4 linked regions of the Rattus norvegicus genome follow. The protein of the gene in region 4 interacts with the protein of the main gene of each other region in a biochemical or structural test. Links are inferred from orthologs where the notes say so. Each region holds a gene or a part of one and is shown on either strand. Other genes may lie near its edges.

Region 1 (4,289 bases), on a different chromosome or scaffold from region 4:
ACAAAGTGTCAACACAAAGTATAGTGGGGCCTAGGGAAACACGGCCAACTCGACGGTAGAGAGATGGAACCTGACCAAGTAAGACAGCTTGGAGTACAGGTCGGGAAAGTAGACACGACACCCAGAGTAGGGGCCTCTGCCACCGTTTAGCCTTTGCTGGAGAATAAACATGATGGAGCTGGGGTGCTCCGCCCACTGGAGGCTGCGCAGGCCACTGCATGGCCTCGACAACCCGGCGGGAGTTAGGAAGGGGCGGGAGCCTGGTCTCCTACTTCCGCGCAACCGGCGCCTGGGGCCTGTGGCTTTTAGGGGACCATCATTTCACAACTTGGCCGATTATCCATGCAAGTTTCCAATCGCTCCTTTAGTCAGCCTCAGTTTGCCCTCCCCCAGTCTCAAGGGCCCAGCTGGGGAAGGGAAGAAACGACCCGAACTCTGGTATCCCGAGCTTGGCACAGATGACCGAGCCAGGCCATTTTATTGCAGCTCCGCTCACTTTTGCCATACCGGTTATCCACAGGCCTAGTGATTCCCGAATCCCGGTGCGCAAAGACGAACGCTACAGACTCGATCAGCCAGGCAGGGTGGTGGGTACCCTACACTGAAAAGTTCCACCTTTGGGATATTTTGTTCCCCAAACCAAGAATGGCATTGGGGACCCAGAGATGGGGAGTCAGAACCTGTGGGTTAATGCCCTGTTCCAGGGCGAGGAAGGAGGGGGAGGGTCGCGCACGTGGCTCGGGGGCGGGGCAGCGCGCTTCCGCACCCCCACCCTGGCCACGTGCGGAACGCAACCCCCACACACATACACCGCGGACAGGGGCGCGTCCCAGTGCCTGAATGTTGGGGGAGGGACGAGTTGGAGAGGGGAGGGCTCCCGGCGACTGCGCACCCCGCACAGCGTGGTGGGCGCGCCGGGAAGGAGATGGAGCGCGCACCCCGAGGAGGCGTGGCGCGCACTGGGGTAAAGGCGGGGCATCCGAGGCTGGGGTGGGGTGTGTGGGCGTGTCGCAGGGGTGGGCGTAACTCTCAACGCGTTGGGAGGTGGCGATCCAGGAAGGGCACCGGTAGGGGTAGTGCGTGCCAGACCAGAGGAACGGTTTGCCTCCGCTGGCTTGTTCTTGAGTGGAGAGGACACAATCCAGGGTGATAGGGGACCCCGGGTGCTCTGCTGGTACACGAGAGTGTCGAAGTGGGGGAGGACCGGCAGCTGGCGTAGTGAGCTCCGCCCATCCGCGGCGGCGCGCGACTCTCCGGACGACAGAGGGCGCGGCAGGAGGGGGCGTGACCGCGGTGGGGAGAGGGCGTGGCCACTGAACCCCGAGGGGGCGTCCTACGGGCGGGGCGGGCCGTGGCCGCCCCCGCGGGCTCCGGTGCGTCAGGGAGCGTCAGGCGGGGCGGGGCGGGGCGGGACTGAGCGCGGGCGGCGGCGGCGCGCCGGGGGCCTCCTCCTCCCTTCCCTCCTCCGCCTCCCGCACTCCAGCAGCCGCTGCCGGCCGGACGGGCGTAGGTCCCGCCGCCTCCGCCTCTCTCCCGCCGCGGATCCCGTGCCTCCGCGTCCTTGCCCGGCATGTCGGCGGCCGTGGCGTGTGTGGATTACTTTGCCGCCGACGTGCTCATGGCCATCTCTTCGGGAGCCGTGGTGCATCGCGGGCGACCCGGCCCCGAGGGCGCGGGCCCCGCTGCCGGCCTGGATGTGCGCGCCACGCGCCGCGAGGCCACGCCGCCGGGGACCCCTGGGGCACCGCCACCGCCAGCCACCGCTCCGGGGTCGGGAGGCGCCACCGCTGCGCCCCACCTGCTGGCCGCCAGCATCCTGGCCGATCTGAGAGGCGGGCCGGGAGTCGCCACAGCAGCCAACACCGCGGGGGGCACCTCTCCGGTCTCCTCCTCCTCGGCCGCTTCGTCTCCGTCTTCGGGCCGCGCCCCCGGCGCGGCCAAGAGCCACCGCTGTCCCTTCCCAGGCTGCGCCAAAGCCTATTACAAGTCTTCGCACCTCAAGTCACACCTGCGGACTCACACAGGTAAGCCCCTCGTTTTTTGCACCGGTGGGTTCAGGGAGTGCAGTAGAGAGATCTCGGGAACCCCATTTCCCCCTCACACTTGGAACCCCGAAACTGCGTGGCGCGTGGGGGGCGGGGAGGGGGGCGCGCCCAGGCTTCAGCGGCCCGCCGGCCGGGAGGGCGGGGACGTGGTGGGTGGGGCGCGCGCGGGGAGGCGTGGCGGCCACGCGGTCGGGCGGCGCGCTGAGGGCGGCCGGGGTGGCCAAATCTCCCGCGACTGCAGGTCGTTCGGTATCCACCCTGGCGTGGTGGGTTCAGCACGTGCGATCGCAGCCCTCAGCTTCCTAACCTCAGTCCCGCTTGCTGTTTCTGTCCTGCTTTTTTGTGCTCATGGTCTCTCATGCTTGGTGGTCAGAACATCCGGTTCCGTAGTTCCTCCGCCCTCCCCCAGCCTCAGTTTCCTTATCTGTGAAGAGGGTTGGTAGATCCGGGTTACCGCCTCCGGGGTAGCAGCGCGGATTCCCTCCGAAGGGCAGCGAAGCCTACAGCATAGGGTTAAGTGATAGCGGTGGTGAGGGGGTGGCTGCCCGGGACATTTTTCTTTCCATTCTGTGTACTTGAACGTGGTGGAGTGAGGCCACGACCCGGACCCGGAGTTGGGGCTTGAATCTTCAATCCAATAGGATTGAAATACCCACCACAACTCTCCTCCCACCTCTTGTGTTGGCCCACTCCACACACCTGTGATCGATCTGTTCAAGGTCCAAGGTGGGCAACGAGCTTTAGCCACACCAAGTGTTTCTGGGAAGCCCAAATGGATGAGACAAAAGCTTTTGCTAGGTACTGGCTGCTTCCTGACCTGGATGATCCAAGGGTCTGTCCGTGTTAGCTGGGAGTGTGCACTGGGATTTGAGAATCCACCCCTTTGGCAGTGGTGTGATCTACAGCTCTGAGGCCTCCCTGGAATAGGGCCACCCGTCTGTTATGCCCCTAATTTACTTGCTTTTGGTCCACCATCTCCTGCCTACATAAAAGATAGAGGCCGCCTTTCTCTTACAGTTGCTGTGGGCAACAAGGCACCCAAACAGGGCTTGATTGATCGGGGGCTTCCATCACGGTCACACTGGGAGAGTTTAGGACAGCCCCCATAGGTGCGTGGGTGGCCTCAGGCATGTTCAGGGCAGGTAGGGGGGTAGGGGAGCCATCTTTGGATCCTGCTGAGCCAGAAAGTGGGCATAGATGGTGCCTCCTCTCGCTCTGTCTTTGAGCCGCTGCCCTTAGCCCCTGTGGTGTAGAGGCTGCCCCCATGTTGGTGCCCACATGCACAGGCAGCTCCATATGAATACGCCATTCTCTCTACAGAACATTTGAGGGGGCCACACAGATAGCAAGGCTGTGTGAGTGTGAGTGAGAGGGAGGGGGGAGGAAGAGAATGGAGAGAGATCTCTCTCTTTGCCACACAGTGGAGTCCAGGGTGTCCTGGTTCATGCTAAGTGAGTTTGGCCACGCAGTGATGGGACCCTGTCTGATTCAGGCTGCACCGCCCACACTTTCCAAACCAGCAGTCTTTCTGGTTCCCAGAACTTGGGGTGGGTAAAAGAGGAGTCCAGTGTCCTCCCCACATACCTCCTGGGACATCAGGAGACAGTTCTGTTACTCAGCTGTCAAAGGCTGTAGGCCATCCCTAAACTGGGAGGGTGACCTGGTGGGCCAGAGCAACTGAGAGCTGAGAGCTGAAATCTGGGGTCTGGGGATGACGGCAGTGACCTGGGGTGTGGGGTGGCTTCCACACTTCACTGGCTCCTTGTGTCAACACCAGGGGAGAGGGGTTGCTATGTCCCCAAACCCCGAATTATAGCCATTTGTGGGACCGGGAGATTCACGGGGGTCTGGGCACCTTTATGTTATTTTGGGGGTATCTGGGGACCACTTACCTTCGGTTCTGCCGTTTAGTTGTTTAAATGACTTATCCTTGTAGACAGGACCACTGCAGCCCTGGCAGTCCTAGGACTTGCTCTGTAGACTAGGCTGGCCTTAAACTAACTCACAGATTGGCCTGCCTCTGCCTCTCGAGTACTGGGATTAAAGACGTGCACCACCAGGCCTCATTTTTTGAGATATGTTTGTTCTCACTCTGTAGCCCAGGCTAACTTTGAAACTCAAGGAAATCCTCCTGCTTCAGCTTTCTCCTGAGGGCCACAGCTGACTTGCCCAGTCTCTCCTCTGTGGAGAGACTGTGTGGTCACAGACACCTCGGGTGCTGGGCCTGGGGTAGATCTGGTCTCC
Region 2 (4,207 bases), on a different chromosome or scaffold from region 4:
CATGGGTGGAGTTGGGGCACTAGAACATAGAATTTAGCAGGTTTTTCCTTCAAACTCCATAGCTTTGTCTCCCTGTCCCCAATAGATTAAGCTTCATAGAAGCAGATCAGGCAGAGGGAACAACTCTATCTGGAAAATACAAACACAGATTGCAAAAACATATAATAAGCTTCCAAAACCTTTGTGGTCTACGTGTGGTCTTTGTGGTCATGTGTACCTCAGGATTCAAACAGCACAAAAAACAGAAGGCAGCTAAGGATATGAGGTGATTGCCTGGCAAGCATGAAGTCCTGGGTCTAACCACCAGTATAACAATAACAACAAAAAGGAAAAAAATAATCCTTGGAGTACAACGTCTACATGATGCTTTCTTCTTCAGTGAAAGAGGAACCTGTTACTGTAGCTTTAAAGCACTCAAGACACATTCTCATGGAAAGGAAATAGGCATGTGTGATAGATCAATACTAGCAAGAAAGTCATATAGTTTCTTCAAATTCTTAGGACACACTAACTTCAGATGTCAACAGGAACTTTGAAAGGAAACTGTTTTAAAAGTTGCTTACAATGTTTAAAGAGCTATGAGTAAAACAAATAGCTAACCCGAGGGGCACCTGAGGAAGCAAACATGTTACAGAATATGAAAACAAAGTAAAGGTTTCGACTCTGAGCTCAGGCTCAAATGTATAAACTTTGAAATCTTTTGGGTGTGTTTGTGAAAGTGAATGCACTCTGTCTGTCGGTCAGCAATTTGTTTAATGAATGGGTTATGTGTATTAACTCATTTTAGATCATTTGTACTTTTAAAGTGTGTGGATTCTTTAAGGTTCTGACATACCCAGGTAAGAAGATAAAAGCAAGTGTTTTCTAGGCTTTCTGAGTATGACTTGAATTTGAAGTTAAAAACAAACACACAAAAAACCAAAGCCTATAAATATATTTTTCCAAATCCTTGGTGGAAATTCCCCAAGGACCTAACAGTCCAAACTTTTTTTTATAGAGATCCAACATATTTCAAAGAACCTAAGACATCAGCTTAAATCATGTTATTAATTGAAATTGCTGAGATTCACATAAATCCAACCACAAACCCAAAATACAATAATAATTTACCTATTAGTGAAATTTTACTACCCAGGCCCAAATTGGTTTCATTTACGTAGTATATCAAAAACATCTAGAACTTGTGAGAGTCCTACAACATCTCAGTCACTTAGCACTATAAATTAGTTCATTCTGTTTCATGATCGCCATCAACAACCCTATATTTGAGATTATTGTCTCACTGTTTGGGGTAATGATTCCAAACACTGAAGACGACATGCAAATGACTCAACAGAGCCCATTTGTGTTCCTGGAAAATTAACCAGGAGTACATATCTCCCTGACTATGAGTCAGGAATATCAATTTTATGGTGGAGCCCATTTTTGTTTTGATGAACCTTTACCGGAACATACAAAGAACTAGCACAGAGGTATTCCCTAGCAAGCTTTGCCCTGCGGGGGTCCATACTTAACAATGTCACACCAGGGTCTTTCTTGTGAAACCGAATCTTTTTAGACTCCACCACGATTGATTAAACCTTTAGTGCAAAACCTCAGAAACATTGCTACTGACACATAAAAGTCACCTGTGTTTTATTTTAAGTGATTCAGTCATAACCGAACTAAAAAGAGAATGAACTTTCAGAGATAATTGACAGAGGAGTCATAGCGATGTTTGGTACTGGAGATCCTGAGCACTCCAGGACCAAGAGAGCCCATTACATACAAAGTCCCATTCCACTTATGTAACTGGATGATCGCTGGCGAAGGGAGGGGAGGGAGGGTGGGAAGACGCTCATATTCCGAAGCCACAGTACAGCATCCCCAAAGAACCAGAGCACCCTGCGGGCATGGTCTCACGGAAGAGCTTCGAGTGCTGAGGAACGCACAGTCCCTAGCCCACGGTTCCTGATGAGAACTACAACCATCTCTTTATGATGAGTTGTGGGACCTAGGAACATAGTGTCTAGTCCTTTTTGTGGGTGGACACTAACCCCCAACTTGTTCCTGCCAAGTGGGGAATGGAGCTGATGGACTGACTCGCTTGCAGTGGGGGCAAAAAGTCATGGAATGGGAGAGGAGAAGGAGGGAGCAAAATCCAGAGATGGGGGTAAGAGCTCAGGAGCCCTTGTGGCGCACTCTCCCAACGGGAGATGGACTGCGCACGCGCGCCAGTATGTGGGGGGGGGGAGCGAGTAACGGGAGTGGGGGCGCGCGAGGGAGAGGGGACAGCGCGATCCAGGGAGAGGCCGGGACCGCGGGCGCGCGGCAGTGCCGCGGCCCAAAACCCCAAGAAGGGCAGGAGCGCGCACAGCCCCAACTGGCGAAACCCAGACGACAAGGGCGCTTGCAAAGGCTGGGGCCCAAGATGCGCACAGATGGGGCGGGCAGCGGGCAGCGGGAGGGCGTCATTCGAAGGTGGCTCGAGGGAGATCGCGCTGAGGACCGTCGCTCGCAATTGCGGGAGACAAGTGGAGAAAGCCACCACCGGCGACAGAGAGAGGGGGAGGGTAGAGAGGAGGGACGCCATCCGCCAGCCGTGTCGCCCGACCCCGCGGGCCCCTCCCGCGCCACGTCCCGCCCCTACCCCCCGCCCCCCCCAGCAAGGGTCCCCGCCCGCAGCCTTGGCGGTCCCACTCACAGTCTCTCCTCCTCGCCTCCTCCTCCTCCGCTCGGCGCGGCGGCGGCGGCGGCGGCGGCGGCGGCAGCGGCGGCGGCGGCGGCGGCAGCGGCGGCAGCGGCGGCGGCCATTTTCCGGACGGCTTTTACCACAGCCCTCTCTCCGAGAGGAGGGAGCGCGCGCGCAACCGATGCCGGGACCCCGCACGGCCGACGTCGCGCCCCGCCCTCCCGGCCAGCCTGGGCGCTGCTGCACCTGCGCGCCCGCGCCCTAACGGCAGCGCTTTGTCGAGTTTACCCTCTATTGGCTGTGGAGCTCAGGCTGGGGCGGGGCCTTAGCGGTGACACCCTCAATTGGCAGGAGTTCCTGTCTGTTTAGGCAGGGAAAAGGGGCGGACCCCATTCAGCTGCGGATTGGTGGAGGTCTACTGTCACTTCGAGAAAAGAGGCGGCTAGGGCACAGAGGGGCTGGTTTTGTGGGCAGCGTTTGAATGTTGAGGATTAACGGGGCCCTTGTGGACTCTGGCGCTTAAGGAAGTCTAGGCTCTTGTCGCCTATTAGAACCGCCCTGCCCTCTATCCGCAAGCGCATCGGGCACGCTGTGATAAGCATTTAACTGCACCAGCATTTTCTTAGTATCATTTTCTGTAGAAGCAGCAAAGTTGCCTGTTGAGGAGCCTGATGTTGTTCCAAGCCAAGGGACTTGTTTTAAAGGCTCTACCAATTGTATTATTCCACCTAATTAGCACTCTTAAGGCAGTAAAATCAACATATCAAACAAATCCTGGTCTTTGCAGACCTTTATAGTGGGCAGATGTCAGATGCCAAGCTAATAAGAGATTTGTCTGTCATTGTTGAATCAGAAGGTTTGATTGAAGTAAGTATAAAAGAGAGTGAGCCCAGAGGAAGCAGCCCTGCTTTGAAGACCTGAGATCCAGCAATCTGGATTTCAGAGTATGAGGGAAGGTTTAGGTAATAAGGTGTCAGGATTGTCAAAGCAACCTTACCCTTATACTAGTCAGCATTCGATGCTCCTTGTGCTAATCCTGTGCTCAATAGGAGACTTTTGGATTCAAATTTGGCTCCCCTCTCCATTCATTTAGTTGCTAGGCACTGTTTTAGTACTGAACAAGGAGACAGACTAGAATCCTGGTAAGAAAGAATCATACTAAACATACAAGTAAGTAGAATTTAAAATTTTTCATAAAGACTTTGAAATAGGGCAAGAGCGAAAGGAGTGCTATTTTGATAACCTCTAGCACTTGCCCATGTCATCCCCCAATATGGGTAACTGGGGAAAACATTCTAGGCAAGTTTAAACACTCTAAGGAAGGACTATGCATGTCTTGCCAAGGAGGCCAGTGTGACTGGAGAGAGACTTAGGTCACCAAAAGAACTGGGAGATTATTTTGAGATGAGAAGCCCTTGATACTTGAGTCACTAGCTGGCATCATAAAACCTATGTTGCCAGTGAAGAATGGAGAACAGGCCAGTCCAGAGGTCCTGACAACAGTTGGGGTGGGGAGAAGAAGAAGGGGGATGATGA
Region 3 (4,037 bases), about 8.3 Mb from region 4:
TCTGAAGCAGTGCATTGGATAAAGTGCATTGAATCCTAGCCATTCTTTAAGCCTGAGAGCAGAGCCTTCCTGTGTAAGACCAGTGTCCAACATGAGGCTCACAAACTTACTTAAAATTAAGGAGTTTTCAACCCCTCCCCTTAGTCAACCTAAGCATTCAGTCTTACCGCTCACCCCCTCCCTATTGGCAAACCCTCATCCTCAATGGCTTTCTAGTTCTCGCTCACTGAGACGGCCTTAGGAGACAACCAGAGCCTGCCAGCACTGGCTGCTAAACATGATGGTTGGTCTCCTATCTGCAGGCAATGGGGTTGTCCTCTCCTAGTCATCCCAGACACATCTCCTCTCCATCATCAGTGACTTCTACAGCCTTTGTCCTTGCACTCTGGTCAGGGCTGCAAAGGATTGGCAGACCCATTTCTTAGGCTGGGACAAACACACCCCACCACACACACCCCCACCCCACCCCTACCACATCACATTCTAGCTTAAGTCATTTCTAACTACAAGTTCCTCAAAGTTGCTGTATGTGTCCAAGAGATGTGTGTGTGTGTGTGTGTGTGTGTGTGTGTGTGTGTGTTCGCTCACCCACATCTACATACAATTATACAAGATGCTACAACCCCCTCTTTTACCTCTGGCCCACAAGGCACCAATGGACAGAACGCTCTAAGAAGAGAAAGCAGAGAACATCATAGGAGGCTATGTTCCCAACAGCCTTGAGGGTTCACACCAGACTGGATGCCTCCCAGGTGTTGGCAAGCCCAGTGACAAGGAGAAAAACTGACACTGAATATGGTTCTGTAAGTGACATTGGCACCAGCATCTCTGGCGTGAGTTAAGCCCAGAAGGAAGGGAAGACAGAGCTGAGACACAAAGGCCTCTCCCAGAGTGTATTCTGGATGACTGAGAGGCTCTCGACTTTGAACAGCCATTGAGACATGGGCAGAAAGACCTAACGGGATAAGGTCTCAACCTCTGTCTGCAGCCAACATTTCACACAGCCTGGGGAGAGAGGGTGGAGAGAGCTAGGCTTCTCACGCACTCTTCATAGAGCATGCCTTCACCCTCAACGAGAGTCTTAAGGACCCTTAGACGCAAAACTCATGCAGAAAGAGTTAACAGTACTGGCTGGCCACTCTTACTGCCCACCCCAAAGTAGAAACGGAGGGCATCAACAGTGGTGAGATATTCATTCGTCAAAAGCTTCTTGAACATGGTGTGCTTTCGGGAGAGATCAGAGATTCAAGAACTAAGGGAGAGAAGCCGAAATAAAGAAGGTTCTCTGCCAAATATCTTCCTCCAAAGGAGCCTTTTGAGCCTTAAGGGAAATCAAGGTGCCCTCTCCCTAACCCGCAGCTCCGCACCCGATCCGACTGTCGCTAGGTGCAGCGGTCAGCCGACTCTGGGCAAAGCCAGCGCTAACCCGCCACAGAGCTCCAAGGATCGATGGCGCAACACACCCCTTGTTCCCAGAGACCCCCCGCCTAGACTTGCAGAGGACTTTGGCAAACTTGGAAAAGCAACTTTTCCCCGGGAGTCAGGTGCCTGGAAGAAAGGGATCGGAGCTGAAAAAAGGAGGAAAGCGAAAGAGACCCGGGAAAGGAGAATGTCCGAGCCGGCTGGACGCCGCTGCTAGGCCGGCCGGACGGCGCAACCCCCCGGGGGAGAAAAGGAAGCACAAAAAGCCCCGAGGCAAGTGGTGGGAGGCCAAGCGAGAAGAGATCTCTGGGTCCTCCACCTTCCACCCAGGATCGAGATCCCTGGGAAGCCACCAGCAGGGTCCCCGGCCTCCCGCACCAGCTGCCGGCGTGCCCGAGTCAGACACGCTGGGAGCGTGGCGGGGAGGAGGCGAGCTGGTTGCAGCGGTGCGCGTCTGTGCATTCCGGTGGGGTCCGCAGGCTGCCAGGATCGTGCGCATTTCGAGCGCGTGCGGGAGCGTGCGAGGGGCTGGGCAAGCTTGCAGCGCGCCAGGGTGGGAAAGACATTCCGAATGCATCAGGTGCAGAGCCGGGAACCCACCGTGCGCGGCCGGGAGCGCACAGCGAGCTCCGGCTCCACGGGCTGTTCCCACCGAGAGCCGAGGAGGACCCGGAGCGCCAGAGTCTCTCCGAAGCTTCCCTCTCTCCTTAAAAGGGGGCATCAAGTCCAATCAAGAAGAAGAAAAATCCCACCACGTTTTCTCTAAAGAAAACAAAACCCGAGCGGGTACCAGTCCCCTCCCACCCGCCCTCCAGGTTCACTCCTCGCTTCCTCCGGTTCCAGCTCCCCAGCCCGCCAGCGAATAAACACAAATAAATAAGACACAATCCTAGCTCACGCCAAGCGCACCGGTCCGCATACATATGAGCACCCACAGGCTCTCTGCTCCTCCGCCAGCCCTTGCCTGTACAAAGACACCCAGTCCCCGACTATACGCTCCCGCAGCCCTGGCAGACCTCCCGGCCTGCCACCTCTCACCCGGACCGGACCGTGCCCGGAGGAGGAAGGTTGGTGAGGCAGCTGCGCCCGAGCTGACAGCCTCGGCTCCGCTTTCTAGCTGACCCCCAACCGGCACGGGCGATCGCTGCAGAAGCAGCAGCAGCAACCAGAGAACCCCGCACGAGCCCAGCGGCCGAGTGGCCAAAGCTAGCGCCACCCGCCTAAACCTCTCCCGCCCCAGGGCGCCTGGCGGGAGGCGGTCGCTGGGCGGTGCGAGTCCTTCCCGGGTTCCCTACACACATACACTTACCGCTTGCAGAGCCGGGAGCTTGGGGTGGGTGTGCGTGCCTGGGGGGTTAGGGGTGTGCCTGGATCGGGGAAGGGGTGTTGCTGGGGAACTGTTGCTCCGGATCTCACGGCGGCAGCGGCGGCATCGCCCGGCAGTTCGCAGTACCCGCTCTCATCACCCTTAACTCCTCTCTGCCGCTAGGTTAGCAAATCACCACCGGCTGCGGCGCCTCCGCCGCGTCCCACGTCAACGCCGAGCCCCCTCCCCTGCGAGGCCCCGGCGCCTCTCCATCTTTAGTGCTGGCGGCCGAGCCCGGCTCCCTGCCCACAGCTGCCCCCTCCCCTCCCCCTGGCCGGCCCTGGCCCGCCCACCCCGCCCCACCCCCGCCCTGGCTGAGCCCGTGCGCGCTCCCAGCCCTGCCCTCCCTTCCCGGGCGCTCCCCTCCCTTCCCAGCGCTCGGCGCTCCGGGCTTCTCCTGACATCTAGCTGCTGCCCCGGCGCCAGCGGCTGTTGCCCGTGGCTAGGTGGAGAGGGCAAAAGGTTGCAAGGAAGAGGAGCCGCAGAGGATCTGGCAACCCCCAAGGGGTCAGAAGGATGAGAGGGAGGAACAGTTCCCACTTTAGCACCAGGTTTTTCATTTCCACTGGGCATGCGGTTTATCCCGCGTCCCCAACTCCCCCAACTCCGGTGCTCAGGAGCGCAGTTTTGTCCCGTTCTCTATTATTTGCACCAGTGTGTGGCATCTAGCCTTTCACTTTTCCTCGGGATTCGGACTGCATCCTTCCTTACCCTAGACACTAGTTTTAAATGGGTCGTTTCCCCAGTCCCAAACCAGGCCTCTCATGCCTGCCCGCGGGGATGAGCGTCTGAGTTAGCGGGATTTGGCCAGATAAATCCAGAGGGGCCAGTAGAGAACTGGTAGGAGGTGACACCTCGGTTTTGCAATCTAGATTGTCGCAAACTGAGATGTCAAGGCCCGAGTAGTAATACTTTCTCACTCCCAATCTCAGGCATCCTCCCCTTATTTTCCCCCGGCCCCAAGAACCTGGATGGAAAGTTGTGAAGATCCTGCGCCTAGCTCAGCTCAGCCTTCCGGAGCGACTGGAAGCTACGAAGAGCGCTAGGCCGCTCCAGAGTTCTTTCTTCCCTCGGCGGCTGGCCCACTTTAAAGGGCGTAGTTGAGATGCCAAACCGTAAACCAAAGAAAAATCTGTCCTTCCTCTACCTGCGGAAAGCTCCGTCTCTTCCTTTTCACATGAAACTGGGCAGGAGATTGGGGGGGGGGGAGGTACTTTTCTGAGCTCGAGCCTCCCTCAAAAGCCCCAGC
Region 4 (4,296 bases):
TGTGCTTTGCCAGGAATCTAATTAATACCGATCTCAAGTCTTAAAAAAAAGAAGAAAAAAAAACTTCTTTATGCGAACTATTAAGGCCTGAATTTAAAAGTATTAACATTTTTCAAAGCTATATTTCTGTTTTTTTCACACGTGTATAGATATATGGGTATGCACCTGTGTCTGGGTGCCTAGGGGCCAGAGGTGTCAGTACTTGGAGCTCCAGATACATGTTGACATGGGTGCTAAAAACTGAACTCAGGTTCTCTTAGATACTAGTAAGTAAAAATAAACATATAGTACTGATGGATGGAAATGTAAAAATAGAAAAAACAAAAACAAAAGCAAACAAATATAACTAGGTTCTTGAATTTTTAAAGCCTAGGACTTGTGACTCCAGCACACAATCTAGAATACACATTCTATAAGAGTACGAATTATGCCCAGCAGTGGCGGCACATGCCTTTAATCCCAGCGTTTGGGGGGCAGACAGATCTCTTGAATTTGAGTCCAGCCTGGTCTAGAGGGTGAGCTCCAGGACACCCAGGGCTACAGTTAAACTCTTGTTTCTAAAAACAAAACAAGAAAAACAAAAAAGATATGAATTAGGTCATCTGTATTTCCCAGACTGTGCTTCAAATGGTAGAATTAACTGAGGTTAGGCAAACTTTCCTCAAAGGCTAAGCATTCTCTACTACCGTTTTCAATGTGCTACATCTGTAAGACACCCAAGTTCTTATCTTTTGGCCTCCACCTCAATTCTGTTACTACTGCTGTTGTCACTTTTTTAGCTGAAAAGTGAATATTTAACCTCTTCATTATGTACGGCACAGGGCATGGTTTTCAGCCTCTACTGAACAAAGGACAAATCCAGAATTTAGCTTCAGAAATTACATATAAACGATGGGGTTAGAGACGGCTCAATACAGACTGCAGACTGCTCGTGCAAAAGGACCTAAGTTGGGTTCCCAGAACCCATGTCGGGTGGCTCATAACCACCTGTTAACTCCACCTACAGGGGATCTAACATCCTATTCTGGCCTTACACACGCACGCACACTTTAATATAAATCTTTTTTAAAAGTGGTTTATACATACTCATTCAGACATCAATACATAAATTAAGGATTCAGTGTTTACTTTTCATAAAAAGTTCTCTAAATAAGATCAGCTAACACCAACCCACCTAATAAGGTTACCTGTGCAATAAATCCACAATGGCCAAAGTAACACAGGTTGGGAGGTCATGCTACACATAGGTTTCATAAGGTTCAACCTACTTAGCATCTAAAAAGATCTTTAAGGACTAACAATTACATAAAACTAAAAGAGAACACAAAATTTTAAGTTACCTTTGTGCAGCTAAGCTTATATAACAAAACCTTCTGTAGGTTAAAAAAAAATCAAGAAATCAAAGTATTTTACTTAAATTAAAAAGAAAAATTCTGACTAGAGGAAAAAAAATCAGCCCTGGGGTATAACCTAGTGGTGAAGCAATACTTATGTGCCTTAAATAAACTCCGACACACACAATCATCTTCAAATATCATCTCTGCCAAAGACCAGTTTTAAGATTAAGAAGTAAATTCAATCCTTTCTCTAGAAATACAGTCTCAGCTTTATAAGGAGCTGGAACGGCAAACTGAGTTTAAAGTCCTGAGGTACCAAAAATGGTAGCAAATTTTAGCTATCTACCCATGGGTGCACAGCTTAGCTCTGTTAAGGCACAGTAGCTGAACACCAAGGGAACTCTAGGAAAGGTTGGCGCCCTCCAGAATCTCAGTCTCTGAGTACGCTGCCCCTCCCCCACCGGCCACTGGCGGGGAAGCATGGGCCCAGCACCAGCCGCACCCCACCGCAGACACTCCAGAGAGGACGCTGAGTTTCTCGTCCCAATAATTACAACTAAGAGGAGCAGCTGACCACGCTTCTACTCTCCATAGCTTTTAAGGCGCCATTCACGATGCGTGAAGCAAAGTAGAGACTACAGCTCCGGGCCACGATGCCCCAAGCAGAATGGATGGAGAAGCCACAGCAGAAAGTCGGGACACCTCCACCGCTCCCAGTCTACAAGCGGCCTTCCCACCTACAGGGACGCAGGGCGGGGCAGACACGGAACCCTGACCCCTGCCAGACGCTACAGCGGGCTTTCCCCAGCTATGCTTCACAGCTAAGGAGGCGGAAATCCCGGCGGGGGCGGGGCGGGAGGGGCGTGGCATCACAGCCCCGGACGCGCCTTCCGGCCAACCGGATCCCGCTAAGGCGGGGGAACACAGGCTTCACGCCCCCTCGCCGCCGCGCCCTAAAAGCCACACGCCGGGACCCTCTTCTCGTCCCGCACACCCCGCGGACCCAAAGCAGTACAACCCGTGTCCCCGCCCACAAGGGGAGAAGGGGCGGGGCCACGGCCGCGGGCCTTTAGTCCCAGCCCGCCCCGCCCCTTTCTCCACCACCGCACGCGCGCCGGCCCCGCCTCTGATCGGCGGGACTAGGGCCCGCCCCTCCGTGCGCACCGGGACTACGCTCTCCTCCCCCTCCCGCACTGAGTGCGGCTCCGCTCCGCCCCCCACAGCCACGCACGGGAAGCCGAGGTCAGCCCCCCCGAAAAACACACGCCCTCCAGTCCCGGGTTACCCGCCACCCAGCTGCTGGGCAGACCGCGACGCGGCGTGCTCTCACCGCAAAAGCTCCAGCCACTCAGCCTGCGCGTCGCTCCCGGCGTGAGCCTCGCACCCAGCACGGAGGCCCCGGAACGGCGCGGGCACAGGCCCGCAAGAGCGGACTGGCAACCTCCTTTGCGCCTACGAAGCGGTCACAGGCCTGGGTGTCCAGACTGGGAAGGAGGGAGGGAGGGAGGGAAACTCTAAGGGGGGAAGGGGAGGGGGGAAGATGGAGAAACCGTCTCTGCCGCCTCTACCGCCGCGGCCGCTTCTCTGTTACCCGGGAAATCCCGCCCACTCTCCCGGCCCGCCCCGCCGAGGGAAGGCTTAACCTCGCTCCGCCACGGGATATATTACCCATCCGTCAATGGTTTAGCCAATCACCGTGCCGCAAAGGCCTATTCCCGCCCTCTTCCCTCGCTGGGAGGGGAGAGCAAGCCGCTCACCTTCTCCACGCCCCTATTGGCGGGGAGAGTCCCTAACTCAACCCCGCCTATTGGAGACTGATTGCCGAATCCCTCCTCCAGGCTCCAATACTATTGGAGGAAGAAGGGTACCTCGTCACATCTCATTGGAGAGTCTCACATATCCCTCCCCATACCGCCCCAGCCACAGGCCTAACAAATCGGCTCCCGCCTCCGCCGGTTCCCGCATTGGAAGACTACCTTTGCTTCTCTCATAGCCCTAGGAAGGTAAGTAACCAATGTGGGGTAAAAATGTCCTTAAGTGAGGCCGACTCCACCCACTACACTGCTGGGCCAGGCTCCGCCCCCAAAGATCTGATTGGACTATCTTGGCGCCGGTAGGAGCCGCCATTGGACACGGCGCCGGTCCAGGAAGGAGACCATTCCGCCCTGCGCGAGGATGCTGAACCTTAGCAGTCCTTTTGTGGAATGTTTACACTGGAGACTGAAGCTCAGCGTTCCAAGGCCGGGACCGGAGATGGCGCGCAGCGCAGCGGTCGAAACCGGAGGCTTTGAGATTTGAAAAGGAAAAGGCAGTAGTATTACCACCATTGGAGGATTAACCAAAACAATGACAGAAAGCCTCGTCCTTCCTACCCACTTATTTTTACACTTTCACGGTCTTCTAAACACAGCCATCTGGAGCACTCAGCAGCTACTTTCAGCAAGCCGACTCCAAAATTAATGTCTGGAGCTCTAATCTGATACAAAAAACCCAGATATTACTAGCCAGTCGCCAGAGCCGGCTGCATACTGTGACACTGGGACAACCAGAATCCGCAGCCCTCAGGGGGCGGAGATAACCCAGCGGAGGCCTTTAAATGTCACCGCCTGGGCAAGCCTCCGGAAGGCGGAGCATGAGAGAAAAAAAAATGTATTCCAGGTCGGCCGGGTAGATCCAGGGACATTTTAAACTGGAGGAAGGGATGCAGAAAAGCTCACACAGACCACTGTATAAATAAACCTTGAGTGTGCATTCACATTCAGATAACGAGTAAAAATTCCAGATTGTGTGAAGGATATGGTCTTAAAAACGACTGTTCAAAGGGAAGAGCCTGTAATCGCAACTATCCTCGATAGGGCAGGAATAGTGTCTCCTAGGCCAGCCCCTTCAAAAAAAAAATGTGAGGGGTATCCATGGCCTCCTTGGCAGAATGAGTTAATGGCGGTCTCTAAGCCTTCTT

The links.
Region 1: the proteins of Sin3a (region 4) and Klf16 form a complex in vitro, tested with the Homo sapiens proteins (2 studies listed by BioGRID). The link is inferred for Rattus norvegicus from reciprocal best matches to the Homo sapiens genes SIN3A and KLF16.
Region 2: the proteins of Sin3a (region 4) and Mecp2 form a complex in vitro, tested with the Homo sapiens proteins (2 studies listed by BioGRID). The link is inferred for Rattus norvegicus from reciprocal best matches to the Homo sapiens genes SIN3A and MECP2.
Region 3: the proteins of Sin3a (region 4) and Zbtb16 form a complex in vitro, tested with the Homo sapiens proteins (3 studies listed by BioGRID). The link is inferred for Rattus norvegicus from reciprocal best matches to the Homo sapiens genes SIN3A and ZBTB16.

The regions. Positions count from the first base shown.
Region 1 is NC_086025.1:9,787,698-9,791,986, forward strand, and holds the start of Klf16 (Krueppel-like factor 16), read left to right. Parts: upstream 1-1,487; 5' UTR 1,488-1,570; coding exon 1,571-2,024; intron 2,025-4,289. UniProt on the Homo sapiens protein: Transcription factor that binds GC and GT boxes and displaces Sp1 and Sp3 from these sequences. Modulates dopaminergic transmission in the brain.
Region 2 is NC_086039.1:156,993,101-156,997,307, forward strand, and holds the start of Mecp2 (methyl-CpG-binding protein 2), read right to left. Parts: upstream 2,803-4,207; 5' UTR 2,794-2,802; coding exon of another isoform or gene 2,684-2,793; intron 2,606-2,683; exon of another isoform or gene 1-2,605. UniProt on the Homo sapiens protein: Chromosomal protein that binds to methylated DNA. It can bind specifically to a single methyl-CpG pair. It is not influenced by sequences flanking the methyl-CpGs.
Region 3 is NC_086026.1:58,070,706-58,074,742, forward strand, and holds the start of Zbtb16 (zinc finger and BTB domain-containing protein 16), read right to left. Parts: upstream 2,803-4,037; 5' UTR 2,732-2,802; intron 2,708-2,731; exon of another isoform or gene 2,461-2,707; intron 2,165-2,460; exon of another isoform or gene 2,023-2,164; intron 1-2,022. UniProt on the Homo sapiens protein: Acts as a transcriptional repressor. Transcriptional repression may be mediated through recruitment of histone deacetylases to target promoters. May play a role in myeloid maturation and in the development and/or maintenance of other differentiated tissues.
Region 4 is NC_086026.1:66,380,291-66,384,586, reverse strand, and holds the start of Sin3a (paired amphipathic helix protein Sin3a), read right to left. Parts: upstream 2,805-4,296; 5' UTR 2,668-2,804; intron 2,580-2,667; exon of another isoform or gene 2,321-2,579; intron 558-2,320; exon of another isoform or gene 452-557; intron 1-451. UniProt on the Homo sapiens protein: Acts as a transcriptional repressor. Corepressor for REST. Interacts with MXI1 to repress MYC responsive genes and antagonize MYC oncogenic activities. Also interacts with MXD1-MAX heterodimers to repress transcription by tethering SIN3A to DNA.